4 linked regions of the Stegostoma tigrinum genome follow. The protein of the gene in region 1 interacts with the protein of each later gene in a pairwise test. Links are inferred from orthologs where the notes say so. Each region holds a gene or a part of one and is shown in the gene's direction. Other genes may lie near its edges. The genes, in order: zgpat, lzts2a, dhx15 and ccdc57.

Region 1 (7,142 bases):
AACCTGTACGTCAAATATTTAGCTAATGAGCATGATTTGGCTAACATCACAGGAAATCTAATTATCTTCCAAACTCTGCACCCATTTAAAGTAGGCACCATTTAATCTTGGTCAATACATGAGGAAGAACATAATAACACAGAAGGATGTTTTGAAACTGGTAAAGGTTCAGAAAGAGATTTACAAGAATGTTGCCATGGTTGAAGGGTTTGAGCCATAGAGAGAGGCTTAACAGGTTGGGGCCATTTCCCCTGGAACATTGGAGACTGAGGAATGACCTTATAAAAGGTTTATAAAACCAGAAGAGATGTTGATAGGGTGAATTGACAAGGGCCTTTCTCTGCAGTGAGGGAGTCTAAAACTAGAGGGCAGAGGTTTCAGGTGAGAGGGGAAAGATTTAAAAGGGACTTCAAGGGCAACTTTTTCACACAGAGGGTGTTGTGTGTATGCAATGAGCTGCCAGAGGAAGTGGTGGAGGCTGATACCTTTTTAAATGTTGTAATTGTATGCAGATGGGTAAACAGATGGGAAGGATTTAAGAAGGACGTGGGCCAAATACTAGCAAATGGGACTAGATTAATTTAGGATATCTGGTCAGCACAGAGGAGTTGGACCAAAGGGTCTGTTTTCAAGCTGTATTTCTCTATGACACACAAAATTACATCCCAAAGCTCCAAATAACTATAATCAATGCAGTGTCGAGCTGGAGGAACACAGAAGGTCAGGCAACATCAGAGGAGCTGGAAAGTCGACGTTTCGGGTTTACACCCTTCCTCAGGACTCCAGCATCTACAGTTCTTGCTATTCCAAATAGTGTACTATATGTTTTGTTTCACAGGAACACGATCCCAAAAAAAGAAACAGGACACTGTTATAAAGGTTTATATTATTCGTGTTTGGAAACGTAAGGCACTGTCGCTCATGAAATAATCTGTCAAGCTCTGGATTTAATGACAGCAACGAAGTATAAAACTTTTGAACATCCCTCATCGTCTCTTGTATGCTCTAGAACGATGGCTTTCAATTCAAGAGTCACCCTTTCGCGACCAATAACGCTTACTAAACGGAGCTCTTACCTTTAGACCTTTAAATCCATTTAAATCCTTCTGTTATGTACCAGGCTCCAAATTATGGAAACGACACAAAGCGGAAGTTTCGCCTGAACAAACCGGATCTTCGACCGCCCCTTAGGCATCGAAATGCTGTAGTTTTTCTGTCGCTTTGTTCTGAATGAGGGCGGGGGCATTAAAACGACAATACCCATAATCCTTCAGTGGCGGGTGGGCGGAAATGAGGTGGACATGCGCAGGGCGAGTCATCTGCCATTTTTAATTGTTAAAGGTTGCAACTGTTAAGTTCACCCCAGAAGTTGTCAGTTTATAGATTTTTAAATGACACTTTTCAGATTCATCTTGTGCGTGACATAATATCGTAAAATGCATATGCCCTGAAAACTACATTTGAAAAAATACAACTTCAGCGTAGGTCTGACATGGATATGTTTCCACATATGGGAGAGACCATAATTAGAGCTATAATCCCATCAGGGAAATGAAGAAAAATCCCGCTCCTGACGGCGGTTAGCACATGGAAATACTGACCGAAAAAATGTTTGAGGCAAATGCAGTAAACACATTTCAACAAAGGTTTGGTAAGTATTTGAGGGAAAAAATGAATAGAAAGTTGTGCTTTTAATGTGCATTGAGATGGTCGGAGCATGTACCTCTCGGGCTGAATGGCTTGATTGTGTACTCTGCAATTTATGCAATAATAAACTAAACAAAATGAATGGTCTATGTCTATTGAATATTTCTGCCTCAAGCTGCAGAGAATATCATTGTTACAATTTGGAATACATCACACAGATGGAGAATTTAAAAAGAAACTTCAAAATGCCATTGCACCCACTCTGGAAAAGGATGGATTGCATTTTAAAAGAGACTATCTTTAGTAGAACAATCAGCTGTAATACCATCCAAACATCAAGACTGCCAAAGGAACCTTGGAATACGTTCGTGGATTCCCGACAACTTCATCTTTACCGTCCTTTTAACATTTTTTTGGATGCTACTGCAAGTCAGCATATATATTTTGCAGGATTCAGAATGAGTTTTAGTTTTTCAATTAGTTTTATTATAAACTCAAGTATAAGCCTTGTTGGTTCAAGAAATCCATCTGGCTTAATTTTTCATATAGTTTTTACATACAGTCAAGCATATGCTGAATAGAAAAAGAATCTTTATAAATTCAAACTAATGAAACCAACCTCCGAGCTGAGAAGTGAGGAATTCACCTCTCGGGATTCAGTTTAACAGTGTACTCAGAAAATTCTAAAGTGCTTCATAACCAATTGTTGACTTTTGAAGATTAGAATTATTGGAAAGGTAAATACAATGATAACTCGTATACACTAAGATCTGATAGAAACAAACGAATGAATGGAGATAATCATTTGTGGTGGTGTTGTTCAAGTCTACAATGTTTGTCAGGGCAAAAGAAGGACCTTTGCTTTCCTTTGAGTAGTGCCCACCAGGGACCTTTGATGCCACCTGAGGAGACAGGTTTGGTTTAAAATGGCATCTGAGAAGGAAATGATATTGAACTATATAGGTTTTCAGTAATAAAGAAATGAAATAAAAGGGGTAATGTGGTTATGATATTAGACTCATAATCCAGAAAAATACTGAAAATCCCACCCATAATGACGATAAGTTAATTTAAATTTATTTTAAAAATTTTAGAAATAAAAAGCTGGCAGTAGTGAAAAGAATTATATAATCGGGAAACCAATCCCCCTGTGTGGCTTCCTCTACATTGGGGAAACCAAGCAGAGCCTTGGGGACCGCTTTGCAGAACACCTCCGCTCAGTCCGCAACAAACAACTGCACCTCCCAGTCGCAAACCATTTCCACTCCCCCTCCCATTCTTTAGATGACATGTCCATCATGGGCCTCCTGCAGTGCCACAATGATGCCACCCGAAGGTTGCAGGAACAGCAACTCATATTCCGCCTGGGAACCCTGCAGCCTAATGGTATCAATGTGGACTTCACCAGTTTCAAAATCTCACCTTCCCCCACCGCATCCCTAAACCAGCCCAGTTTGTCCCCTCCCCCCACTGCACCACACAACCAGCCCAGCTCTTCCCCTCCACCCACTGCATCCCAAAACCAGTCCAACCTGTTCTTCCTCTCACCCATCCCTTCCTCCCACCCCAAGCCACACCCCCATCTACCTACTAACCTCATCCCACCTCCTTGACCTGTCCGTCTTCCCTGGACTGACCTATCCCCTCCCTACCTCCCCACCAATACTCTCTCCACCTATCTTATTTTCTCTCCATCTTCGGTCCGCCCCCCCCCCCTCTCCCTATTTATTCCAGAACCCTCACCCCATCCCCCTCTCTGATGAAGGGTCTAGGCCCAAAACGTCAGCTTTTGTGCTCCTGAGATGCTGCTTGGCCTGCTGTGTTCATCTAGCCTCACATTTTATTATCTTGGATTCTCCAGCATCTGCGGTTCCCATTATCTCTGATATAATCGGGCTTATCTGTTTAAAGAACAGAAATCCTTCATGTTGTCCTAGCTGAACATTTATTCCTTGATTAAACAATTTTCAGTCACAAGTTTTTTTTAAATTTAGTCCCTTGGAAACAGATTAATTGATCAGTATTGCTGAAACACTAACTTCCAAACCATCAATTTGTTTGTTCCTTTCATTGATGCTCCACATTTTTCTGTTTTCCATTTGGAACACAGCTTTTATCTCTTGGCTGTTTGCGGTATCTTGCTGTGTTATTGCCTTGAAAACACGGCAGTGCACTTACAGAAAGTACTCAGTGATTAGTGTTTAGGGGTGTCCTGAGAACAGGAAAAATGCCGTTTAAACGAACTTTAGTTTATTTAATGAAATACGAGAGGGGGGGGTGTTAAAACAGAAAGTGGGCAGAAATTTAAGAAAAATAAAAGTAGATGACACCTAAAGTTTGCAAATAATGAAAATGATCCATGGAGGCTAAAAATGCAAGATTTTGGAACTAGAAGAGAGTGGGACTTATAATGTTCCCCATGTTCCCGGTTGCGAACTGAACTATTTTTCCAGCGTGAGCCCAGCCACAGGTCAGAGGTTGTTCACTGTCTTTTCCTTCCGGAGTTATTGTTCTCGTTGGCCATGGCGGCGGGAGCTGAACGATTCTGATCGCTGTCAGTGCGGCTCCGGAGCGCTGGTCATGGACGAGGCGAGTCTGGAGGCGGCCATCGAGGTGTACAAGGCCCAGCTGCAGCAGGTGGAGGCGGCGCTGGGAGCCGGGGCCCAAGCTGAGGCCGAGGCCCAGGCGGACCTGCTGCAGCTCCAGGCCGACCTACAGCAGCTGGTCGCCCTGACCGAGTCCAGCCTCCTGTCGGTCCGCAAGAGCCAGCTCCTGGAGCAGCTGCAGCGAGGCGCCTCGCCGCCGGAGCCCGAGGACCAGTCAGGGCTCGACGCCGAATACGCCGCTTTCCAGGCGGCTCTGAGGGAGGCCGACCAGGAGCCGGGGAGCGGCGATGAGGCTGAGACTAAGGTTGAGGCTGGGGATATTAGCGGCGCCAAGGTGCGGGCTCCGTACCGCTCGGCTTGGGGCCCGCTGCAGTATCACAACGCCATGGTGGTGGGTGTGGAGGCTGACCAGCCACCCGAGCCCACAGTCCGTGTCCTGTGGATCCACCCCACACAGAGAGCCATGAAGCCCTGCCCGTTCTACCTGAGTGGGAGCTGTCGCTTCCTGGACTCCTGCAGGTAATTCAGGAAGGGAAGGCTGAACTGAGAGAGAGAATAAACATGGAGTAACATCATCGAGGGAGTTCAAAACTAGGCTCCACGTACTCGTATATTCAACAAAGCATTCACGAGCAAATTACTAAGAAGTGATTTTACTATAACATAAGCAGAAATTGCTGGAGAAACTCAGCATACACATAGCATCAACAAAAACAAAGTTGCTGGAAAAGCTCAGCAGGTCTGGCAGCATCTGTGAAGGAGAAAACAAGAGTTAACGTTTCGTGTCCGGTGACCCTTCCCCTCAGCCAGACCTGCTGAGCTTTTCCAGCAACTTTGTTTTTGTTCCTGATTTACAGCATCCGCAGTTGTTTTCGGTTTTTATTATCTACAGTAGCATCTACGGAGGGATAACAGAATTATCGTTTCGAATCCAGTGACCTCTGCTTTCTCCACACATGCTGCTAGATATGCTGCTGAGTTTCTCCAGCAATTTTTGTTTTCATTTCAGATCTTGACATTGGCAGGTTTAATTTTAGAGTTTGTGTAATGTTTAACTCTATGAGGAGTAACTGAGACACGTAGTGTTAAAGAGATGTTACTTAAATATAGGCTAGTGCAGTGAGTATTGAAGGTATATTGATGTGATGCCATTAAGAAGGATGAGATGATGCTCATGTGGACTGCTACAGGCTAGTTGGCTAAATAGTCTGTTATTGTGCTAAAAATTCTGTGTAATGAATGGTTAGGTCAATCTGAAACCTCAAAGGCAGCAGAACTGTGCACACTAAGAAATGCACAGTTTACAGTCGTATATCTATTTAAATATGGAATTGTCTTAGTTTTCTTTTTGAGTGGCCACAAATCCAAAAATGATTTTCCTATAATTCAGTCTCATTCTCAGCATGAGAACTGCGGTGCTGCAAGGATCAGTGCTTGGATCCCAGCTATTCACAGTCCCCATCCATGATTTGGATGTAAGGACCGAATTTAATATTTCCAAGTTTATTCATGAAACTGGATTAGTTGGGAATGTGAGTTGTGAGGAGGATAAATAGAGGCTTCAAGAGTATTTAGATAGGCTGAAAGCGCATGGTACGTGGAATATCATCTGGAAAAATAGAAGGACAAAATATTTCTTACGTGGTGAGAGTGAGATGTGTTGATGTTCAAATAGATCTCGGTAACCTTGATTGAATGTCACTGAAGGTTAATGTGCAGGGTCACTTGGCAATTGGGAGTGCTGATATGTTGTTTCACCAGGATTTTACAGGAGTAAAAGTGTCATACTGCAGTTACATAGAGCCTTGGTGAGACCACACCTTTAATATTGTGTACAGTTTTATTTCCTTTTCTAAGCAATGATATACTTGTCATTGAAGTATTACAGCAAATGTTCACTAGACTGATTCCTTGGTTGGCAGAATTCCTTACTTAGGAGGAGAGATTGAGGCGACCAGACCTATATTTTAGTTGATCACATTGAAGTACACAAAATATTTACAAGACGTGACAGGTTGATGCAGGAAGGATATTTCCTTGCCTGGGACAATGTAGAACGAGGGGACAGTCTCAAAATAAGAGGTTGTCCATTTGGTACTAAGATGATGTTTTTCATTCAGGTTGGTGAATTCTTTTTTCATCAGAGACCTATAGAGGCTTGGTCATTGATCATATTCAAGGCAAAGAATGATAGATTTCTAGATATAAACTATATATCAAGGGGCACTTGGATAATGTGGGAAAATGGCGTTGAGGCAGAAGGTCAGCAATGATCTAATTGTATAGTGGAACAGGCTTGAAGAGTCAGGTCAATGCAGAAAATATGTAGTGGCAGAGGGTGATTGCATCTTCCCTAATCACAAGAAAACACAGTAATGTGGTGACCGATCAGTGAAAAGTTGTTTCCGTAAATAGATCGGAAGAAAATGGTGAGGAGCTTCTCTCATTACAGGCTGGCTGTCTTGTGCATGCAACTGATAGGCACACTCCTGTTAGCAAGTACAGCCGTGAGAAAGCTGCAAAGGGGTGGGAGACACAATAGGGCAGTGAGATCTACACAGGTGCCTGGGGAAGATGAGGATTGCAAGTGGATTAGAGGTAGAAGGGGTAGAGCTGTGCAAGGGGACTGAGTAGGTGGGAAGCTGGTGCTAGGGGTTTAGGTAGGAAAGGGATGTTCTGTGGTGATTAGGAGAGGCCAGAGGTATCTGAAAGAGCATCAGGTAGGTGGGAGTGACAGGGAGGAAGCAAGTGTTGTGAAGACAGCAGGTCAGTAACAAGGAAAATCACAAAATAATAAAACACTTGTAAATGAATATGAAATTCCTTTGCTTAATGCTGCATTTGTTCAGGACATATGTGAAGATTGCAGCAGATGTTGTGGTGATGAGT
Region 2 (7,279 bases), on another chromosome or scaffold:
TGGGCTGGTTGGATTGAAGAGTCTGTTTCTGCGCTGTGCATCACTATGTCTCTAGGCATCAGTAGTTTCCCAGTTTGCCCTTTCCCCTTATAGGCACATCTGCAGCTCCCCCCCCCACCCCTACAAGAGGGGGGGGGGGTCTCCATGCTGGCATCTTTGCCCACTCCAGAAGGGTCCATTGCATCCCCAGCAGAGATCAGTGACCACAACAAGAATGCAATGCCCCATGAAAAGGTGTCAGATCCTTTCCATGTTGCAGCAAGTGAAATGAAGATATCAGTCCTGGCATTGGAGCACAGAGTGCTGACTATTACCTTCCGCACCCTTCCTACGCCTTGTGTGAGCTTCACTGTCACTGCACAGGGACTCAAGAACCTACACCCCCACCCCGCAACTCTCAAATGACACCCTAACCTGCATATCCTTGCACCGTGGGAGGAAACCCATGCAGGCACAGGGAGAATATGCAAACTCAAACCTTGTCCTCTCAATTAAAAGACAAGTGTGGAGAACAGGCAGGCTATTCAAATAAATAATTCAACACATGTTGTAGCTTATAATTAACTGGCTCATTGAATAATAAGTTCATCTTGTGTTCGGACGGTTTCCGAGGGAAGAGATCCTGCAGCCTGGAGTGGCCCATGAAGAATGAAAGCCAGCCCTGATCCAGCTACATAATTGTCAGCTAATCATTTTTTCTGAGCAGACTTACCAGAAATCCATTAGCATGGGAGGGGAATCGGGGCACCAGTGAAAAGCATTGAGAGTTCAGCTCCAGATTAATCTTCAATCTTTTCATCATGGGCTCCACGATTCAAGGATTTTATTCATTAATTACACACTAAAGACTGCTCATCAGGCACTGCGTTAAACCACTCCTTCCCTTTTAATTGTTTCCCAGAATTTGCTGTTCCTTGTTCGCATTACAGACCCCCACAAACTGTTCCACTACAGCGTCATCAGAAACAGAGGAGGTGACGGCCTAGTGGCATTAACGCTAAGCCAGAGGTAAAGTTCTGTGGATCCTGGGTTTAAAGTGGAATTTGAATTTGAGTTAAAAAATCTGGAATGAGGTATTTAATTTCAGGAGGTGGAGAAACCCATCCTGGTTCAGGAAAGCAAAGTGCCTGCTCCACTCTTTAATCAAATCATGGCTGGTCTTTCCGTGAACGCAGCTCCACTTACCCATCTGCTCAGCAGAACCCTTAATTCCCTTTACTGTTCAAAAATCTACCTTTACTTTAAAAACACTCAATAAGATAGCCTCAATGACTTCACTGGGCAGGGAATTCCACAGATTCACAAACCTTTGGGTGAAGAAGTTCTATCTTATACTGAAGTTCTACCTTATTTCTGAAGAAGGGCCTGAACCCAAAACGTCAGCTTTCCTCCTCCTCTGATGCTGCTTGGCCTGCTGTGTTATCTCAGATTCTCCAGCATCTGCAGTTCCTACCATCTCCCTACCTTATGCTCCATGTAACTCCAGACCTACAGCAATATGGTTGGCTCTTACAGGCAATAAATAGAAGTGACGCTCACAGCCCATAGGGTTAAGGAGAATCCAAAGGGATTTATAAATACATTAAGGACAAAAGGGTAACTGGGGAGAGAATAGGGCCCCTCGAAGATCAGTTAGGCCGCCTATGTGTGGAACCACAGGAGATGGGGGAGATACTAAATGAGCATTTTACATCATGTTTACTGTGGAAAAAGATGTAGAATGTGAGGAAATAAATAGCGATTATTATGGAGGAGAAGCTGCTGGGTGGCTTAAATCGCATAATTGTGGATAAATCCCTGGGACTATTATCAGGTGTACCCTAGAGCTCTGTAGGAAGCTAGAGAAGTGATCGCTGGGCCCCTTGTTGAGATATTTGCATCATCAACAGCCATGGGTGATGTGCCGAAAGACTGAAGCGTGATTAACATGGTGCCATTTTTTTAAGAAAGGTGATGAGGAAAAGCCAGGGAACTATAAAGCGTAAGCCTAACATTGGTGGTGGGTAATTTGTTGGAGGGAATCCTGAGGGACAGGATTTACATGGATTTGGAAAGGCAAGGACTGATTAGGGAAAGTCAGCATGGTTTTGTATGTTGAAATTGTGTCTTACTAACTTGATGAGTTTTTTGAAGTAACAAAGAGGATTGATGAGGGCAGAGCGGTGGACGTGATTTATGTGGGCTTCAGTAAAACATTTGACAAGGTTCCTGATGGTAGACTGGTTAGCAAGGTTAGATCACATGGAGTAGAGAGAGAACTAGCTATTTGGATACAGAGATAATAAAGTGTGAGGCTGGATGAACACAGCAGGCCCAGCAGCATCTCAGGAGCACAAAAGCTGACGTTTCGGGCCTGGACCCTTCATCAGAGAGGGGGATGGGGAGAGGACTTGAAGGGAGAGGACAGAGGGGGTGGTCAAATATTGTTTTTCAGGCTGGAGGCCTGTGACCGTGGTGTGCCACAAGGATTGGTGCTGGGCCCACTGCTTTTTGTCATTTATATAAATATTTGGATGTGAACAGAAGAGGTATGGTTAGTAAGTTTGCTGATGACACCAGATTGGACGTGTAGTGGACAGCGAAGAAAGTTACCTCAGAGTACAAAGGTATCTTGATCAGATGGGCCAAAAGGCTGAGGAGTGGCAGATGGAGTTTAATTTAGATAGATGTGAGGTGCTGCACTTTTGAAAGGCAAATCAGTGCAGGACTTATACACTTAATGGTAAGGTCCTGGGGAGAGCTGCTGAACAAAGAAACCTTGGAATACAGGTTCATAGTTCCTTGAAAGTGGAGTCACAGGTAGACAATGTAGTGAAGACGGAGTTTGGTATGCTTGTCTTTATTTGTCAATACATTGAGTATGGGAGTTGGGAAGTCATGTTGTGGCTGTTCCGGACATTGGTTTTAGAGTATTGCATGCAATTCTGGTCTCCCTGCTATCGGAAGGATGTTTTGAAACTTGAAAGGGTTCAGAAAAGATTTACAAGGATGTTACCAGGGTTGAGGTATAGGAAGAGGCTAAGTAGCCTGAGACTGATTTCCCTGGAGCATCAGAGTGGACGGCTGACCTTATAGAGGTTTATAAAATGGTGAGGGGCATGGATAGGCTAAATAGTCAAAATCTTTTTCCCAGGGTGGGGCATAGGTTTAAGGTGAGAGGGGGAAGATTTAAAAGGGACCTAACAGGCAGGTTTTTCATGTAGAGGTGGGTGCATGTATGGATGGCAGTTTCCTTCCTTAAAGGACAATAGTGAACCAGATGGGTTTTTCCTGACAATCGACAATGGATCCATGGTTATTATTAGATTTTTAATTCCAGATATTTAATGAATTCAAATTGCATCTTCACCACCATGTCGATTTAGCTTCTGTATCAGACACTATTTGGTCCAACCTTGCCCCGTCCCACCTTCAAACCTCCTAAAAACCTATCCCCTTGACCACACGTTCAATGTCTTGTCCAGCACCTTGTCACCTGATTCAGTGTGGAATTTGACCTTGAATAGCCCTGTGCAGCCCCAGGAACTGCACTAAAGGCTGCTATATCAATGCAGGGAGGTCTTGATGCTGACAGTCTGCCTGTGGCACCATCTCCCAAACATTTTGTCCATGGGGGTCTGAGAACTGGCTGTCACTCCAAGTCCATCCAACCACGACTTTTGCCTGCCAGAGATAAACCAGAATGATCCATTTCCCCTACCCCGACCACTGTCCCCCCCCGCCCCGGGGCCACAATTCTTGTTCATTTTTGTACATCTCTCCAATGGGGTAGGAGAAATAAACAGTTGTGGGTCAATCTCTTAGGGACAAGTGAAGGGAAGGGTCTAGGCCCGAAACATCAGCTTTTGTGCTCCTGAGATGCTGCTTGGCCTGCTGTGTTCATCCAGCTTCACACTTTGTTATCTTGGATTCTCCAGCATCTGCAGTTCCCATTATCTCTCTCCACACCTTGTTATCTCGTGTATTTATTTATTGTTAGAAAAGAATCATCTCCATTTCAGCATTTTTTTCTGAAACGTGGGATTCAGTCTCCATTATTGCAAACTCCTTAATGTTGATGTGTCAAGTTTCAAACGTGAAACAGAGGGTGGGATTCAGCAACTGAACCAAAGCAGAACAGAACCACAGATTTCAGGGATCCAGGGGCTTCAGGAAGCACAGACTGGTCATGACTGATGATTTCCCAAGGCAGCGGCGATAGGTTTCTCCAATATCCCTCCCCTTGCAGAAGAAAAAAGGGGTGGGACTCTGACAAGCAAATCCTGTTACTGACAGATGCTGAAGGGAACTGAAGGAAGTTCTGCGTGTTTGTTTGTCATCGGCCCTTTTTCTCCCCACTCTGTATGTGCATATGCATCGAACAGAAACATGCTGGCCGGCTCTAGCGGCGTAAAGGTGTGGGGCTAGACCGAGGAAAGAGAGAGAAATTTGAACTGACTTTGAAAGCGGCTCGTTGGATCGCAACTGAAAGTAGGGGAGAGGGCGAGTCGATAGACGGTGAGTGTGTGGTTTAAGTACGGGTCGATAGTGCTTGTCGTTTTCCTTGTAAAACCACACACTTCTCCCTCCAGGCCCTGATATGTGTCTGTGGGGGAGAGAAAAATGACAAATTATCCTGGAACTGGGCGCAACAGCTATTTAACAAATCGTATGCATTAGTCAAGCCTACTTATATTGTTTTACGAGACTGAGAGTAAAAGTTTATTATCTCTCTGCAAACCCAGTTTATTTCTGCTGGAATGGAGTCTCTGAATTGCTTGGTTGGCGCGGTGTGTAATCTGAGGGGCAGTTTTGCTTCCAGACCACCCCTAACATGCTCCTGGCTAGGCTCTCACCCCTGAAAAGAAGGAGATAGAGAAATTTCTAGAGGTACAGAATAAACTCTTTGTTGAAAAACAAGAGAGAAACACGTTTTTTTTCCTCTTTCTGTGGAGAATTTCTGCTGAGCTGGATTCCAGGGTTGTGTTTTTAGCTCCTACATAAATTTCTAAATTTTTGTTTTTGCTGGTCGTGTTTTCTTTTTCTGCTGGCAATAACTTAATACATAAAACACGAAGCTAGCGAGTAAATTGGATCTGCGTTATTAATAATGTGTTTGGTGCTGTTGTGGTAGACTGTAATTTCCCAGAGGTGAAGGGAAAGATCTTGGCGTACGTTTCTGGATAATGTTTCCTGTAAAGTGGAAATGTACAGATACTCTTGATGTCGGTCTCTGTATAACAGCAGCCTGTTCTCTATTGGCCTTTGGTCTCCCGGGTAGGGGAGTTGTGTTCAAAGTGGTCTGACCACACCCCCTTCCCCATTGCAATTGCTGCACCCCTCATTAAATCAGAAAGACTTGTTTATTGCTGAGATGTTTGTAGGTTGGGAGGTGCCTGTTAATATTCAACAAGCTAGAGAAGTTGGTATGAATAGACTGCCTCTCCTATATGTGTGTCTCAGCTGGGGCTCAGTGGGTGACTCTCACACTCTTGAGTCACAAAGTTGCGGGCTCAAGCATCTCTGCTGCGTGCCACAGTCGAGACCAACGCTTGGGTCCCAATGTTTGGATGAGACGTTGAGCTATGGTACCGCCTGCCCTCTCAGATGGACAGTAAAGGATTGAGGCAGGTTTCGAACAGCAACAAGGCTGTGTTCGCCAGTGTCCTGGTCAATGTTCATGCCTTATATCGGATTATCGGGTCATTATCACACTGTCATTTGGGTGCCACATTACCTCAATACAACAGTGACTGGCAAGGGAGTAATTTAATTGCATACGGTGCTCTGAGAATGCCCATTGGTTGTGAAAGGTGCAATGCAAATGAAATGTACATAAATAGGAGCAGACCATATGTGCCTTAGTCTGTAAGGCTGATAAGTTTTTCTTTTGCAGAATGTTCCCCACAGCTCAGTTTTTCCGCCCCATTTCTGCCAGAGCCCTTTTATCCCCTAATGCTCACGTCCCAAAGACTATATTGTTCGTCCACGTCTTACAGGATCCAGACTTTCAATTACTCGTAACCCTCTAAATCCTTCCCACACCTCAGCCCTAGATAGCTGACCCCTTATCTTAAGACTATGATCCATAGCTTCAGACTCTGCAGCTGGGAGAAACAGTAACTCAGGATCACTGATAATAAAGTGTGAGGCTGGATGAACACAGCAGGCCCAGCAGCATCTCAGGAGCACAAAAGCTGACGTTTTGGGCCTAGACCCTTCAAAGAGGGGGTCACTCAGGATCACTGCTTCTTTATTAAACACGGGAATATACAGGCCCGAACTAACTTGATTGTTCCTCATAGCCCAGCACTCTTGTCCCAGGCATCAATCTGTTGAACCTTTGCATCCACTCCAATGCAAGCATACCCCTCTTAGGTAAGGTGACCAAAATTGTACCTTTGTACTTCCAGGTATAGGCTTTTACCACCGTATATAATTGGAGCAAGATGTTCTTGCTGTTACTAGGGGCAGCACGGTGGCTCAGTGGTTAGCACTGCTGCCTCAGAACACCAGGGACCTAGGTTCGATTCCACCCTCGGGCGATGTCTGTGTGGGAGTTTGCACGTTCTTCCCATGTCTGAATGTGTTTCCTCCAGGTGCTCCAGTTTCCTCCCACTGACCAAAGATGTTCAGGTTAGGTGGGTTGGCCATGCTAAATTGCCCATAGTGTCCGGGGATGTGTAGGCTAAGTGAATTGGACTTGAGAAATGCAGGTTTACAGGGCTTTGGGTGGGATGCTCTTTGGAGGGTAGGTATAGACTTCTTGGACTGAATGGCCTGCTTTCAAACCATATGGATTGTAATATTATATTCCAATTCCTATGCAGAGAAAGCAAACGGTTCAGCTTTCCAGTTGCCTTCATGCTAATGTTCTATGACTCGTGTAAAAGGATCTCCAGATCCCTCTCACATCAATGTTTACTACTGTGTTTCAAAAATTTGCTGCTCCTTCATTTCTACTACCAAGCTAGAGAATTCGCCTTTAGAGATAGTAGGAACTGCAGATGCTGGAGAATCCAAGATCACAAAGTGTGGAGCTGGATGAACACAGCAGGACAAGCAGCATCTCAGGAGCACAAAAGCTTTTCTGACAAAGGGTCTAGGCCTGAAACGTCAGCTTTTGTGCACCTAAGATGCTGCTTGGCCTGTTGTGTTCATCCAGCTCCACACTTTGTTATCTCGGATTCACCTTTTCCTGGATTATACCCCATCCACCACCACCTTGTGGAATCATTCTGTCACTATCCCACTGCAGCATTTTTATGTCTTGCACATTGCTTCCTATTCAGCTAGCTTC
Region 3 (6,874 bases), on another chromosome or scaffold:
GAGTGTCGAGAGGCTGAATAACAAGTGAAGGGATGACCTCCAATCAGATTACTTGAGACAGAGAGATCATTTCAAAAACTTAAAAATAAGGTGGTGCTGGAGACAAACCAAGTGATCTTTTGACCTTTCTGATTATAAAGTCTGTGCCTGGGTGCTCTCTTCACATCACCTGATGAAGGAGCAGCGCTTAAAAAGCTTGTGATTTCAAACAGATTTGCTGGACTATAACCTGATGTCATGTGACTTTTGACCTTGTCCACCGCAGTCCAACAGTGGTACCTCCACATCAATCACATTAGTCAGACAAGATTTTCCTCTAACAATCCATGTTGACTATTCCTAATCAATCGCTGCCTCTACAAGTGTAATCCTGTCTCTCGGAGCTTTTTCCAATCATTTCCCTAATATGTACATCAGACTACTGGGTTTGTAATTAACTGGCCTATCTCTGCTTTTCTTGTACAAAGGAACCACAAAAACTATCTTCCAGACATCTGGCACTTCATCTGTGGCCAGCAAAGTATTAAATATCTCTGCCAGGGCTCTAGCGCTCCCTTCCATTGTTGCCCATAGCAGCCTGGGATACATCTAATCAGGCCCCTGGAATTTTGCGCCTTCATGCCTCCTAAAACATGTAATACTCCTCATTATTCTTAACGTTCTCAATGTCCCAGCTAAAATCACCGTCTACAATGTCTTTCCCCTCTGCCTGTAAACACAGATTGCTCCTTTGGTCTCTAATAGACCCCACTCTTTCCCTGCTAATTCTCTTACTTTTAACATAATTATAAATTGCATCAGTGGTTTCCACAATACTATCTGGCTAAGGTCCCTCTTTGCCCTCCTACTTACTTTTTAAGCAACTCCCTACACTCTGTGGAGCTGGAAGTTCACAGCAGGCCAGGCAGCATCAGAGGAGCAGGAAAGCTGACGTTTTGGGCCTAGACCTTTCTTAGGAAATGGAGATTTCTGAAGAAGGGTCCCGACCTGAAATGTCAGCTTCCCTGCTCCTCTGACGCTGCCTGGTCTGCTGTGTTCCTCTAGCTCCACACTGTTATCTCAGACTTGAGCTTCGGCAGTTCTTATTACCCCTATGCTCTGTATACCTTTGAGGGGCTTCCCCTGTTTTTACTGCCTTGTTCCTGATGTGGCCTCCTTCTTTCTCTTTATTCAACTCTGAACATCCTTTTTTTAATACATTCATTCATGGGATGTGGGTGTTGCTGGCTGGATCAACATTATTGCTAATCCCTAATTGCCCAGAGGGTAGTTAACAGTTAATATTGGTGTGGTTTTGGAGTCACGTGTCAGCCAGGTCAGATGAGGATAGCAGTTTCCCCTCCCTCAAGAACATCAGTGAACCAGATGGGATTTTTCCTTGACAATCAACAATGGATTCATGGTCATCATTAGACTCCTAATTCCAGATTTTTATTGAATTCAAATTCCACCATTTGCCATGGTGGGATTTGAACCTGGGTCCCTGGATTAAAAGTATAGCGATAATACCATTAGGCCATTCCCATCCCACTCCCCTAGACAGCCAGGGTTCACTGGACTTGCTGCCTTGATCCCTCACTCTTAGAAGAACATGCTGGTCCTGAATCCTCACTGTACTGCTTTTAAAAGACTCACTTTCCAAATGTAGACTTATTGCAACTAGTTGCTTCCAGCCTATGTTTGCCAGATCCAGACTAACACTATTGAAATTGGCCTTCCCTTGGTTTTGATGCTCAATTTCTGTATTATCCTTATCCCTTTCCATAGTGACTTTTAAACTCAGAATTATTGTCACCATCTCCAAAACAATCACCCATGAACTCTTCAACCACTTGACCGGCTTCATTCCCGAGGACAACATAAAGCCAATAATCTTGCACACACCTAATTCTTCAGAACACAAGTACTGTGGAAAATGGTAAGTGACCAGAGTACATGAGAATCCATGAATACAAATTATCTCAACGTACTTCAGCAAAGGTCAAAATCAAAGATGACTAATAATTTCAGAAATTCCCTTCAAGTGTAACCCTGTTTCTCTCACACCTCTGTTCTTCTATCTCCCTCGGACAGTTGGGAGGCCAGTAGTATAATCTCAGCAAAGTAATAACCCTTTTCTCATTTCTAAACTCTGTCCAGATGGGCTCATTTGAAGGCCTCTTTACAACATCTTCCTTCATTACTGCAGAGGTAGTTTCTTTTATTGATAATGCCATGCCCCCACCTCTAATATCTTTCACTGTTGTGCCTGAAACTTCTATGGCCTGGAAAGTTGAGCTGCCAGTCTGGTCCTTCCTCCAACCATGTCTTGGTGGTTGCAACAATATCATATCCCACATGCTGATCAGTGCTCTAAGTTCATCTGCCTTATCAGTCAAGATCCTTACATTAAGACAGATACAATTTAGCTTTCTTGGCCTCTTGTGCTTTAACCTGTCTATGTCTCCTCTGCCTAATGGACAATTCTAGCATTCCTTCTATTTCTGATTGGAACTTGCTTCAGATTTTATATCCATCTTGTCCCCTGCCCTATCAAATTAGTTTAAAGCCTCCCCAACAACATGAACAAATTTCGCAGCAAGGTTGTTGGACCCATTCCAGTGTAGATGTAACCACCTACTCAAGAAGCTGTCCCAATGATCCAAAAATTTAAAGTGCTCCCTGCTACACCATCCCTTTAGCAACACATTCATCTGACATATCTTTCGAGTCTTATACTAAATAGCACAGGGCACTCGAAGTGATCCAGAGATTATAACTTATAACTTCCTCTTTAATCTTATACCTAATTCTCTAAATTCCTGTTCCAGGACCTCATTTCTTTTGTTCTTTTGTTCCCCAAGTCATTGGCACTGACAAGAGGCGTGACTGTTGGCTGTTCACCCTTCTCCTTCAGAATGCCCTGATAGCTGCTCGGAGACATCCCTGATCCTGGCACCACGGAGACAACATACAATTCAAGAGACTCTGGTAACAGAGAGCCACCTATCCATTTCCCAATAGTGGATGTGATAGTAATGTCATTGGACTTTGTAACCCAGGAGGTTGAGGTTAATATTCTAAGGACAGTGATTCAAAACCGACCAAAGCAGCTAATGGAATTTAACATTCAAATTAATAAAATCTGCAATTGAAAACTGGTCTCACTGGTGGTGACCTCGAATCTGTCATAGACTGTGAAAGCTCATCTTATTCACTATAACCTTTTTGGCGAAGAAAATCTGCCATTCTGGTCTGGTCTACATGAGACTCTGGATCCACAACAATGATTGCCATTTAACTGCCGTCTGAAATGGCCTACCAAGCCACTCAGTCCAACTGCGTTTATACAGTTAACAGACTTTGCTAGCCTGCATCCCATAGGATAATAATAATTGAAATATGCATGATCAAAAGTTATTTATCTTTGAACTGAACATGAAGTAGTTACATTGTCATTGTCCAAGTGAATTTTGAAAGCTCTCTGTTATGTGGTTGCTCACAAATATTGAAGAACCATGACCGGCAGTTCAGTTGAAGATTGTGACTATGGCTGTTCTGTTGTTCCGTCTGCATCGAGGAAAGAATGTTATAGACTGCTTTTAAAAACTTACAAAGGTCATCTCGTAACCGGTTTCAATTCAGGTCTATCAATTATTGAAACAACGGGAAAATAACCGTGCTTGTGTTTAGGACAGGAAATGAGGTAGATTTCAAATCTTACTCCCAGAAACGGTACATTTTGTGTTGACTTCACACAACTCAGGACAGTTTATAACATCTGACAGAAGCTATATGAAACTAAAACCGCAAGGATCATTCAATAATAAAATGTTAAAACATCTTGCTGCGGTTCCGCGGCGTAACCGTGCCAGAACGAGGTACGTCTCGGTCTGGGAGCCGCCATCTTGTGGAAGTGTTGGGAAGAAGCCCGGCATTGCGTCGGGGCCTGTTGCTGGAGGCTGCTCGTCTTATACATTAAACACTGGGCTGTAGTGGGGAGCGGGAAGTGAAGAAAGTAGATAGGGATATCGAGAGAGGTAAGGGAGACAGGTGCAAGGTGATCAGAGGAGGTGCTGCCTGCGCATGAGCTTCTGCAACAATCGGGACGGAACCCGGAACAGAAGGGGATCGAACGGAGAGACAGAATCGGAACGCACCCGGACCGCTCTAGAACGCGGAGACATGTCAAAGCGGCACCGCGTCGACTTGGGGGACGATTACTCGTCCAGTAAGAAGCGCGCCACCTCGGACGGGTAGGTTAATCCGCAGAGTGGGACGCCGGCGGGAGGCTGGCTGCATCTGAACAGCGGCTCTGAGCGCTAGGGCCTCGGCTGGTTTGCCGAGACAGCGGCCTTGTCGGTGGGGTCAAGCGGCGCTCCCTCAGCGTCCCGCCCGGCTTAGCCGAGCGGAAGGGGCGGCTGCGGCTCGCCGCGGTTCCGCTCTGCCTCTTGCGGAGAAAGCGCGTTAGTTACCGAGAGTGACTGTGCGTGAGAGGCCGAGGGCCTGCGGGTTTGTCCATTACCTCCCGCCACCTCCGCGACTTGGTGCCGCCGGCCTGCAACTTTCCTGCTCATGTCTCGTTTCAGGTAATCTGTTTTTTGTTTTGCCGCCGCTGTATCTTGCAAGGTTTCCGGCCGTTCTTGGCAGGACAGCGCCTTCCGTTCGATCCTGTAATATATGGAGCCTCAACAAGACATTGGCGCTGCCCTACGCCTGTTTCTGCACATGGCTGGGCCACGTTTCCGAGGCCGCACCCGGGTTTTGGGAATTTATACCGAATACCTCGGGGTAGAGGGGAAGACATGTACTGTTGAAGTTTTCTCCGTCGTTTTGCCATGCCCAGTGCTATGGCGGGAATAAGCTTTCTGCACGTTTACTAACGGTATCTTTTCGAAGTTATTTTCCTTATGTAGGTTCGTCCTGAACGTCTCTAGAAGAGGCGCAGAAAGAATGTCAGTTGTCCTCTTTTCAGAGATTAAGGTTTGGGAACAGTGGGGAAATATATTGATGAGGGAGATAAGGCTTATTGGTGTTTTAAAAATTTATTTAATCAGCGGAAAAGTGCGACCCCCCCCCACCCCTTCGCGGGGATGGGGGTGGAGAGAGGGGTGGGAGCCACTGGGGTTCCTAGCTAGGCCTTTTTTGGCAATCTAACCACTACTAAAACACATTTAACGTCCCATGAACGTGTAATTTCGTTCCTGTTTTCTTCCCCTACTTTCCCGAAAGTAGAAGCAGTATGGCTCCACCGGTGCAAATGATGTCTTGCCCAATGTTGCTCATTTATCGCACATTGACTGTCCACTGGCAATTTGTAGGTTAAACTATGGTTTAAGCATGGACACGTAGGTTAGTTCCAATACAGGAGGCTACTCTACCTGAGAATAATTCACTTAGTCCTGTTTTCAGTCCAGCCCATATCTGGTCTGTTCATGTAATTATCCATTTGAAAGTCAGTATCCATGAGTCAGATGAGCAATCCAAAGCCAAGCTCCACCACATTTGCATCCATTGCATTTCTTGATCCATATAAGGTTTCTGTTCATGAACTTTTAGTTCTTTTGTTGATCCCTTGCAGTACTCTGGATGTCTTCTGATTTTGACCCCTCTAACAATGAAAATAAAAAAAATCCCAATTTACTTTGCAGGTTTACTGTGATTTTGATCACCTCATAATCTTCTCAGGAGAACAGCCCATTTCTTTAATTTACCCACTTGACCCTTTACCCTGGAGTTCTGTCTTTTTCTGTACAGTCTCAAATACCCTCACATTTTTCCTAAAATGTGGGCCAGAATTGAACACAGTACTCAGTTGAGGTTGAATTAGTATTTTTTTAAAGCCGAGTGATGACTTCCTTACTCTTATATTTTGTCTCTCCCTCTTTGTACAACCCAAGATCCCAAATGCCTTATCAACAGTATTCCTAACATGCCTGAGCACATTCAATAATTTGTGCGTGTCCCCAAGGCTTGTACTTTCTTTACAATTGTACTGTATTTCAGTGCCTGTCCTTATTCTTCCTACCAAAATATATGACTTCAGCCACCTGTGTAGTAAATTTTGTTGAAGCGTTAGCTCAATCTAGTAGCCTGTTCGCGTTCTTTACATCGTCCTCACGGTTCAGAATACTTAATACTTCTGTGTCATCTGCAAGTTTTGCTATAATGCCTCAAACACATGTCATTAATATGGAACAAAAACAGTCATCATCATAATGGCCTGTTGAAAACCCCATTATATGTGTCTTTAGTTTGTAAAACAAGTGTTCTAGGCTAGTCTCTGATTCCATTTAACCATCTTTATAACTGTGTTCACTACTCCTCTTGCTCCAGTGGGAAAAGCCCCAGTCTGTCCCCGTAACTCAAACCTTCCATTTGCAGCAACATCCTGGTAAATCTATTCTGAGCCCTTTCCAGCTTAGAGTTGATCTTTCTTTGCATCATCTCTATAGCTGTAAAACTATAATCTGCATTCGATATGTGTACGTTGGAACAGGAAAAAAAATGTGGTTTGTGAATAATGTTGGAATAGCTGAAGGTGATGCTGGAACTGTTCTTAATTAAGTGCTCAAGACAAATAGAGTCTCATTACTAAACTAATAGAATATGCTTTCAAATCCTCTGTTTGGTTTTTACTGTTAACAGCAAGAAAGAAAAATCAAAACCCTCAAAGAAGCAGATAGAAAGCTGGATGTCTAGTGTCATGATTTGAATTAAAAAGAGGTTTGGAAAACTTTGACAATTAATATCTGGGACTTGTAGGTTTTGCAGGCTACCAAGCAGGATGGAAAAGTTTAATCCATGCTGATTTCAAATGAGATGATGACTGCAGGCCCGAGAGGTATAGGTGCAAGCTTGTAAAATGTAATTTGAAAACTGATGTCAGAAATGT
Region 4 (7,479 bases), on another chromosome or scaffold:
TCCCTACAATCATTCCTTAAATCTTTTCTGCACCTTCTCTGAAGCCTTCATATTCTTCCTGTCATTTGACAATCAGGAATTTAACCAAATACTCCAGCTGTAACAATTATCGGGTATTCTCCCTACTGGTCATTAAAAAAATGGTTTGCCCATGTTGCCTTTGCCAGACTTAAGTTCTTGACAGAACGCATCTACCTTGAATCTGTGTGATTTAAGACAAGAAATTTACAAATGTCTTAATCCAGCAGCTGCTAGAGAAATATCATGAACAATGGAAAACTGAATATGTGGCCTTCGCTGACGTCAACAAGACATCCGGCCAGTTGAGCAGAGCTGCCCACAGAAGCTGTTCGATGTGATCTCCTTTTTCCATGGCATGATGGGTAAGGTCAACTTTGAAAGGTCAACATCAGAACTCCTTGAGATCTGCAGTCGGGTCACAAGACATTCTGTTTTGGCATTGACAGTCTTTGGCGTATTCTTCTCCTGTGCCAGTCATATGCTTTGAGATTATCTACACACGGTGTCTACTTCAATATCAGAAATTATAAACCTATTCAGCCTTGATTACTTGAGAGATCTTAATCTCAATTCAGTGACACCTTTGCAGAAGTTCCCGGGGTAATGTCCTAGCTCTAAACAGCCTCATCAATGACTGAAGGTTCTGAGTCCTAATGCAGCCAGACCTGGACAAAATCGTGGCTTAGGCTAATAACAGGCAAGTAACATTTATGCCACACAAATGCATGGCAATGACAATTTCCAACAAGAGAGAATGTAACCATCACCTTTCTGATTACATCTTTCAGGTGTTATGAAAAACAGGAGGTTGGCCCCCACAATTGGGCTTTGTTGGACTCATTTTACTTTCATGAAATGAGAACAATGAGATTTTATACCCAGCAGCTTGCCAATTAAGTAATTAATACCATCTCCCAGGCTGTTAGCTAAAACCTTCATATTCTTCTTTTTCAGATTAATCAATTCCTTATTGAATGCATCACTTACACCTGCCTTCAACATACTTTCGGGCTGTAAATTCCACCTCTTAGCCATTTGCTGTGTGGACCATAAAACCTCAGAGCAGAAGTACACCATTGAACCCATCAAGTCCACTTTACATTCAATGAGATTGCTTTTGATTTGACAATCCTCAACTCTACTTTCCTGTTTTTTTCCCTATAAGCTTTGATTCAGTTTCTATTAAAAATCTATCTCAGCCTGAATATACTTAATGAACCAACTTCAACAGCCCTTTGTGGTAAAGAATTCCACAGATTCACTCTGTTCTGAGGCAAGAAATTCCTCCTCATCAAATTTTTTTTGTTTCTTTTTGTCTTCTATTGCTTCTTTTGTCACATACTTTAGGCCTGTATGCTCTTGATTGTACTCTGCTTCCATGTGTAGCCACAGTTTTTCCTCTCTACTCTGTCCAGATCCCTCTTGATTTTATACACTTCTACCAAATCTGCTGTCAACTTTCCTTTCTCAAAGGAAAACAGTCCCAACATCTCCAATCTTATTAATAACCGAAGTTCCACATTCCCAGTACCATTCATGTGAATCTTTGTTGCAATCTCTCTCACAGTGCTGAAGTTGAAGCTGAACCAGTATTTTATACAAGTTTAACATAACATCCTTTATACTCCTGCCACCATTAATAAAGTTTAGGATGCCAGTTATTTTATTAACTACCCTTTCAACCTGTCTTGCCTGCTTCAATTAATTATATACGGATATACCCTGTTTTTTCTATTCTTGCATCCTGTTCAAAATTTTGCCTTTTATTTTGTAGTGTCTTTCTGTGTTCTTCCTACCAAAATGAATCACTGATACTTACAGAATTGAATTCATCCATAATTTGTCCACCTATTCCACCAACTTGTCTATGTCCTCTTGAAATTCTATACTATTCTCCTTACATCACACAATACTTCTGCAAATTCTAACGCAACACCCTGTACACCAAGGTCTTTAATATATTCAGGGCAATTAACAGTGTAGCTGGACAATGAGCTGGGTCTTTGTCCCTGCATTCTCCAATCTTTCTGCTTTATTTTGTCAGTTTATAAAAAGTGCCTGTTCTCCCTAACTGTCTGCACTAGTCATTTACTATTAATTTTCAAAGTCCATTGTTAGTGATTCAATTTAAATGACATTTATACCAAGTAAAAAAATCTAAGTAATTTTAATAAAAAGCCAGTTCATTATTCTAATAGTAAAAGGGAAATTCTTAACTTGATTCCCATTTCCTACAATTTTGTTCTGTTCTCTCAAAGCCATTGAATTATGTTGAGGTGAAGTCTAAGTCACATAGTCCCAGGGGACCATAGGCTGTTCTCTCATAATAGAGAGGTGACTGGTGTTTTAATTTAACCTGAGGGTCAACAGGCTGCAGGCGAGGTTGCAAAGTTGGGGCCTGCATGATGACCTCAGGTGGAATGGGAATTGCTTCCATGGGTTGGTCTCCCTGCACCACGAACAAGGCTGCTCTTGAGTATTCTGCAAATGTACTCTTCATGTATGAGTCAAGGTTGCGAGCTTTGGCAGTCAACATGATCAGAGGGAGATCTTCCAGCTGAAGTCAATCTTGTCTTCATTCAATATCCAAATATGTATTTATTCCTACATGGAATACAAGTTAGTGAACAAGGTCTGGCAACAGTGTTTTCCCACTCACTATTTCAGAGATATTGAATCTTTCAGTGTCACTTTTACTGTTGTCTTACTTGAGATCAACCAATCCACCTGGGGAGAAAAGGGATCTCCCAGTGTGTGGTTTAAACACACATTTTGTTTGTAAGGGGCTGGCATCCTTGAAGCTGTTTTAATTTGGGGTATTTGATTAACTGATTTTAAAACAGCTACACATCTCCTTTACAAAGTGAGTTGAGAAAACCTTTTTTCAAATAATAAAAAGAACTGATGCTAGAAATCCTAGACAGACATAGAAATAGCTGGAGAAACTCAGCAGGTCTTACAACATCTGTGGAGAGAAAGCAGAGCCAATATTTTGGGTCCAGTTATGAAGAAGGGTTACTGGACCTGAAATGTTAACTCTGTTTCCATCTCCATCGATGTTGCCAGACCTGCTGAGTTTGTCCACTTATTTCTGTTTTTGTTTCAAACTCTTTTTTTTGTTACATGCAAATTGAGTAACAAAAGTGGCGTTACCTACAAAGAAGCAAAATTCATGTAATAATGAATCCATCCAATTGATGAAGAAAAAGGTAACTTTCATTATGATGCCTTTCACAACATCAGGATGTCCTGTATGGTGAGGCATTAAATATGCCATAAATGTGTTGTGACAAATATGGCAGTCATTTTTGTGCCACCAAATAAAGTCCAACAAACAGCAATGAGATGACGACTAGATTTTTTTGAACAACATTGGCCAGGTAAACTCCAATGTCTCCTTGCAACAGCAACTTCTACATCCACTGAAAGGGAGACGAAAGACATCATCAGCAACCTTCTAATTCGAAGATCCGAAAGCTGCTACAATGATTTCTCTTTTACTTTTTCCCCTGTCCTTTGTTTTTAAAATGACGTTGTCCCACAACTTGGATTTCACCTCCTCGGGACCTGGTCCATTGTTGTAACTGCGATGATTTGCAAAAGCAGAATTCTACAGGTGCCAGAAGACAAAGAAAAAAGAACAGAAAGCGCTACATGTACCTAGCAGGCCAGGCTGCATCTATGGGCAGAGAAACAAGATTTAACGTTTTGGGTCGGTGGCCTTTCAACCGAACTCGAATTATGCAAATTATCTAGCAGTATGAGTAGAGGATTGCAGCAAGAACTGCTATCGTTTACGCCCTTTCCTTTCATGACACACTTGTCGTTTTGTCAATATTAATCATATCATGAGAACTTTTTTTCTTGTCTTTGCATTTCTCTGAAGGAGCTTTTTTTAAAAATCCTTTCACTTTTTACCACAACGTTTAGTTTGTCTCTTTGTGCTTTCGCTCGGTCTTTTCCTTTGTTTCTTTGTTAAATTTCAAGAATTAAATTTGCTTTGCTCGTTCTTCCCTTTCTGCTTGTTTGCTTATTCATTCTGACTTCACGCGACTTTCCTAGTTTGTGTAACAGGAATGTCGTTGTAATTTATTGCGGGCGTTGTAGAAAAAGTACATGGAAGGAAATACCCAGTGCCTATAAATGAGTTGTGTATTCCTTTTATAGTAAAATACATCTCACTGCGCTGTGAATCAGCAGTCTTCCATTTCCCTTTCCACCACGCAAGAACGTACGATAATTTATCAAGAAAGACTCGATAAAACTGGATACTTTATTATTCCAGTCAGAGCCTTTTTTCCTACTTGTAAATTGTGAAATGAACTGAAACCTGAACGCACACGACGAGGTTTAGAAAACATATTCATCTCAGCGAAGCTCTGATGAAATTTTACGGAACCAAAGCATTGACTGTTTTCCTCACTAACGCTGCCTATCCCGCTGAGTGTTGCCAAACATCTTCTGTTTGAAGTACGAAAGGTTAGATGATGGATGGTCGTTCATGAGCACTTTTAAAATAAATGCTGAGGGACGTGCCTTTATTGTCGGGGGTGGGGGTAACTTGAACCTTTTTGACACGTGTATTCACAGTGAAAGAAATGACATCCCAGTTCTGTGAGAGAGTATTCTGTTGCAGACCTAAACGGAGAAGAACATGCAAAAGAGCTGATGCTTGCAGTTTCTCACGCATTTTCCGCTGTTTTTGGAAATGATCACTTACTGGCAAAGGGTTCATTGTTGGGAAATCTGGACCCAAAACAGAAAACGTGTGAATGCGTAAAGTGCTTTTTCATCAATGAGCAAGTCTTTGTGTATTTTTTTTAAAAATTGGATCTTTAGCATATCCTTGTTGTTACAGAGATTGGAGTCACATTGTGGATACGTGCAGACCAGCAGCTCTCTAAACAATTCAATACAAACAGCCTGAACATTAGCGAAGAGAGAGAGAGAGGGAGGTCTGTAAGTGTAGCCTCACTCCACTCCTCCTCTCCGCCTCCAAAATGATGGGGATAGGTCAAAGTGTTAAAATTCAGCTCCCTGTCTTATCTAATTAGGAATTATAGGCCATAAGACTATAAGCACAATTAGGCCTTTCGGCCCATCGAGTTTACTCCATCATCAAATCATGGCTGATACATTTCTCAAACCCATTCTCCTGCCTTCTCCACGTAATCTTTGATCCCCTTACCAATCAAGAAACTACTTATCTCCTGCGTATATTTTAAGAATCAACCACCAAAACAAAAGACCCAATAATCCAGTACAACTCAGTTTTTGATTTTTATATCAACCTGTTTAAGCGTTTCTTTACAACTTGAATCTAGGTCTAATGGCCCAGTGGCAAAGACGCTTAGCACTGTGCTACTGCCTTTTTCAAATATTTGTCTAATTAACCTTTAATAGAAGATCCTTTCGTAAAACCTTTGGGCTAATCGATATAAAATTAAAATACATTTCAACTGAGAGAATCATTATGGATGATAATCACTGAGACGACTAAGAAGAAGGATGAATTCTCTCAGCACTCTTGCTACTTATTTTCAACATGTATTGTGTTTAGTTGATTTATTTGAACAAAATATACATCTTACAAAGAAAACGGAACCATTGTTGATGGCACAAATACTCCACGCGTTCGGGGGACCCCGGAATGGATTTTTGACAGAAGCACCGCCGCGCGTCACCGTGGCAACGGGAAATTAGAGGCCTATTTGAACGGGCTTTGAATCGTTTTGTGACCAAAGAGACGAACTGAAGCATAATTGTGGAGTTACAGTGGCGGTTGGAGTGGGCGAGAGAGATGAGATTGGAGAGCGAGCTCAGAGATAAAGTCAGGTTTTTGAGGAGCTCGACATGATGCCGTTTCTGAACAAACTGATATGAAATCAAGGTTGCAAACTGTTTGATTAAGCATCATACAGTTCTCATGCAGAAAGTTGGTGTTGATCAGATTGTAACTGGGACTTAAAAAGCAATGAGTTCAGTCTTCGGACTATTGTTTGGCGAAAATCAATGCTGATCAAGAGCACTGGCTAGAGTTTATGCTACTTCCTGCTGTCTATCGGCATCTGGGTAAGGAAACCATTTCAGTTTAGGTGTGATGCATACTGTGAGGCTAACACTACGTCAACTTAGGGCTCGCAAAAATAATCATAAATTTGGAAAGATAACATTTGGTACTTACCTGCTGCCTGAGTCATTATTCCTAGTAATGAATCAAGAGCATTGATGAGGAGGATACCAGGGGTGGGAACCAGTAATAGCAGTAGTAATAATAAAAAAGAGGGGAAGAAGTGGTAAACTGAAGATTTGGCTGTTGGTAGAAGGAATTTAAAATATATTAATTAGATTGCATACGTAAAATATGTATTTAAATTCAAAAGTTGAAATGTACGTTTTAGATTATTTTTCTTACCATCAGTGTGAAGATGAGGGTTCTACTTCCAGTGAGTCTATTTAAATGGACACAGACCTCAATGGAAGAATCAAAGTAGCAAGAATAACAATGGATAGAAGAAGGCATAACAGTGTTCTGGTTCCATGACTGTTGGTGTTTATAAGCACTTAAAGTGAGGCAACTTCAACACAGGATCAAGATAACATAAAGTTGCGCACAGGGTTTCATAATGACAGTTCGAACTTGCCCATACGTACAACTGAGAAAGTCCTTGTATCGTAGTTTCTGTAGCATTAGTTAAACTCACCAGTGTGGCAATGGGAAAGTTGACATAGTCAGGTTTAAAGAGGGAAGACACATCTAGGATTCTACATTGAGTGAATCTGACGGAAATATATGATTTGGCATCAATTTCCAAAATATCTATCTTTCTAAATTGCAATTATGATGCCATCATTATGGTTAATGCCTGTCTGTGAATGCTATACTACGCTATCATTTACTTTTCAGACTTAGTTGCAGTGAACTGTGGGCCCTGTTGCCATGCATTAAATAGGATGGAAATTTTAACTGGAGAAATTTGGTTCAAGTTTGTAATCTTCCACAGTCTTCTAGATTCTGGACAGGCCCAGGCATTGGAATACTACAGATATACTGTTTGTATTAAACAGGGGAGGAAAATTAAAAACACAAAACTATAGACCAATTTGTTTAACATCTAGTTCTGAGGAAGAGTCACTGGACCTGAAATGCAAACTCTGATTTCTCTCCACAGATGCTGCCCGAACTGCTGAGCTTTTCCAACAATTTCTGCTTTTGTGTCTAACATCTGTGATTGGAAAAATTTTGAAGTCTCTTGTTAAGGAAGTTACAGCATGATATTTACAATATCATAATATAAATGAGCAGAGTCAATATGGTTTTATAAAAGGAAAATCATGTTTGACAAATATTTTAAGAGTTCTGTGAGGATATGACAATTGACATGGCCAAAGGGGAACCTGTAGTGTATTTCTACTTACAAAAGGCATTTGATAAGATATCACAGAAGTTTACTGTAT

The links.
Region 2: the proteins of zgpat (region 1) and lzts2a interact in binary tests that used the Homo sapiens proteins (3 or more experiments, as listed by UniProt). The two-hybrid records come from large-scale screens. The link is inferred for Stegostoma tigrinum from reciprocal best matches to the Homo sapiens genes ZGPAT and LZTS2.
Region 3: the proteins of zgpat (region 1) and dhx15 interact in binary tests that used the Homo sapiens proteins (3 or more experiments, as listed by UniProt). The two-hybrid records come from large-scale screens. The link is inferred for Stegostoma tigrinum from reciprocal best matches to the Homo sapiens genes ZGPAT and DHX15.
Region 4: the proteins of zgpat (region 1) and ccdc57 interact in binary tests that used the Homo sapiens proteins (3 or more experiments, as listed by UniProt). The two-hybrid records come from large-scale screens. The link is inferred for Stegostoma tigrinum from reciprocal best matches to the Homo sapiens genes ZGPAT and CCDC57.

Annotation. Positions count from the first base shown.
Region 1 is NC_081372.1:35,392,723-35,399,864, reverse strand, and holds the start of zgpat (zinc finger CCCH-type with G patch domain-containing protein), read left to right. Parts: upstream 1-4,129; 5' UTR 4,130-4,227; coding exon 4,228-4,772; intron 4,773-7,142. UniProt on the Homo sapiens protein: Transcription repressor that specifically binds the 5'-GGAG[GA]A[GA]A-3' consensus sequence. Represses transcription by recruiting the chromatin multiprotein complex NuRD to target promoters.
Region 2 is NC_081373.1:6,413,836-6,421,114, reverse strand, and holds the start of lzts2a (leucine zipper putative tumor suppressor 2a), read left to right. Parts: upstream 1-4,273; 5' UTR 4,274-4,497; intron 4,498-7,279. UniProt on the Homo sapiens protein: Negative regulator of katanin-mediated microtubule severing and release from the centrosome. Required for central spindle formation and the completion of cytokinesis.
Region 3 is NC_081354.1:88,290,730-88,297,603, reverse strand, and holds the start of dhx15 (pre-mRNA-splicing factor ATP-dependent RNA helicase DHX15), read left to right. Parts: upstream 1-3,851; 5' UTR 3,852-4,065; coding exon 4,066-4,235; intron 4,236-4,266; exon of another isoform or gene 4,267-4,554; coding exon of another isoform or gene 4,555-4,568; exon of another isoform or gene 4,569-4,572; intron 4,573-6,874.
Region 4 is NC_081375.1:27,668,020-27,675,498, reverse strand, and holds the start of ccdc57 (coiled-coil domain-containing protein 57), read left to right. Parts: upstream 1-4,459; 5' UTR 4,460-4,500; intron 4,501-5,679; exon of another isoform or gene 5,680-6,093; intron 6,094-7,479. UniProt on the Homo sapiens protein: Pleiotropic regulator of centriole duplication, mitosis, and ciliogenesis. Critical interface between centrosome and microtubule-mediated cellular processes. Centriole duplication protein required for recruitment of CEP63, CEP152, and PLK4 to the centrosome.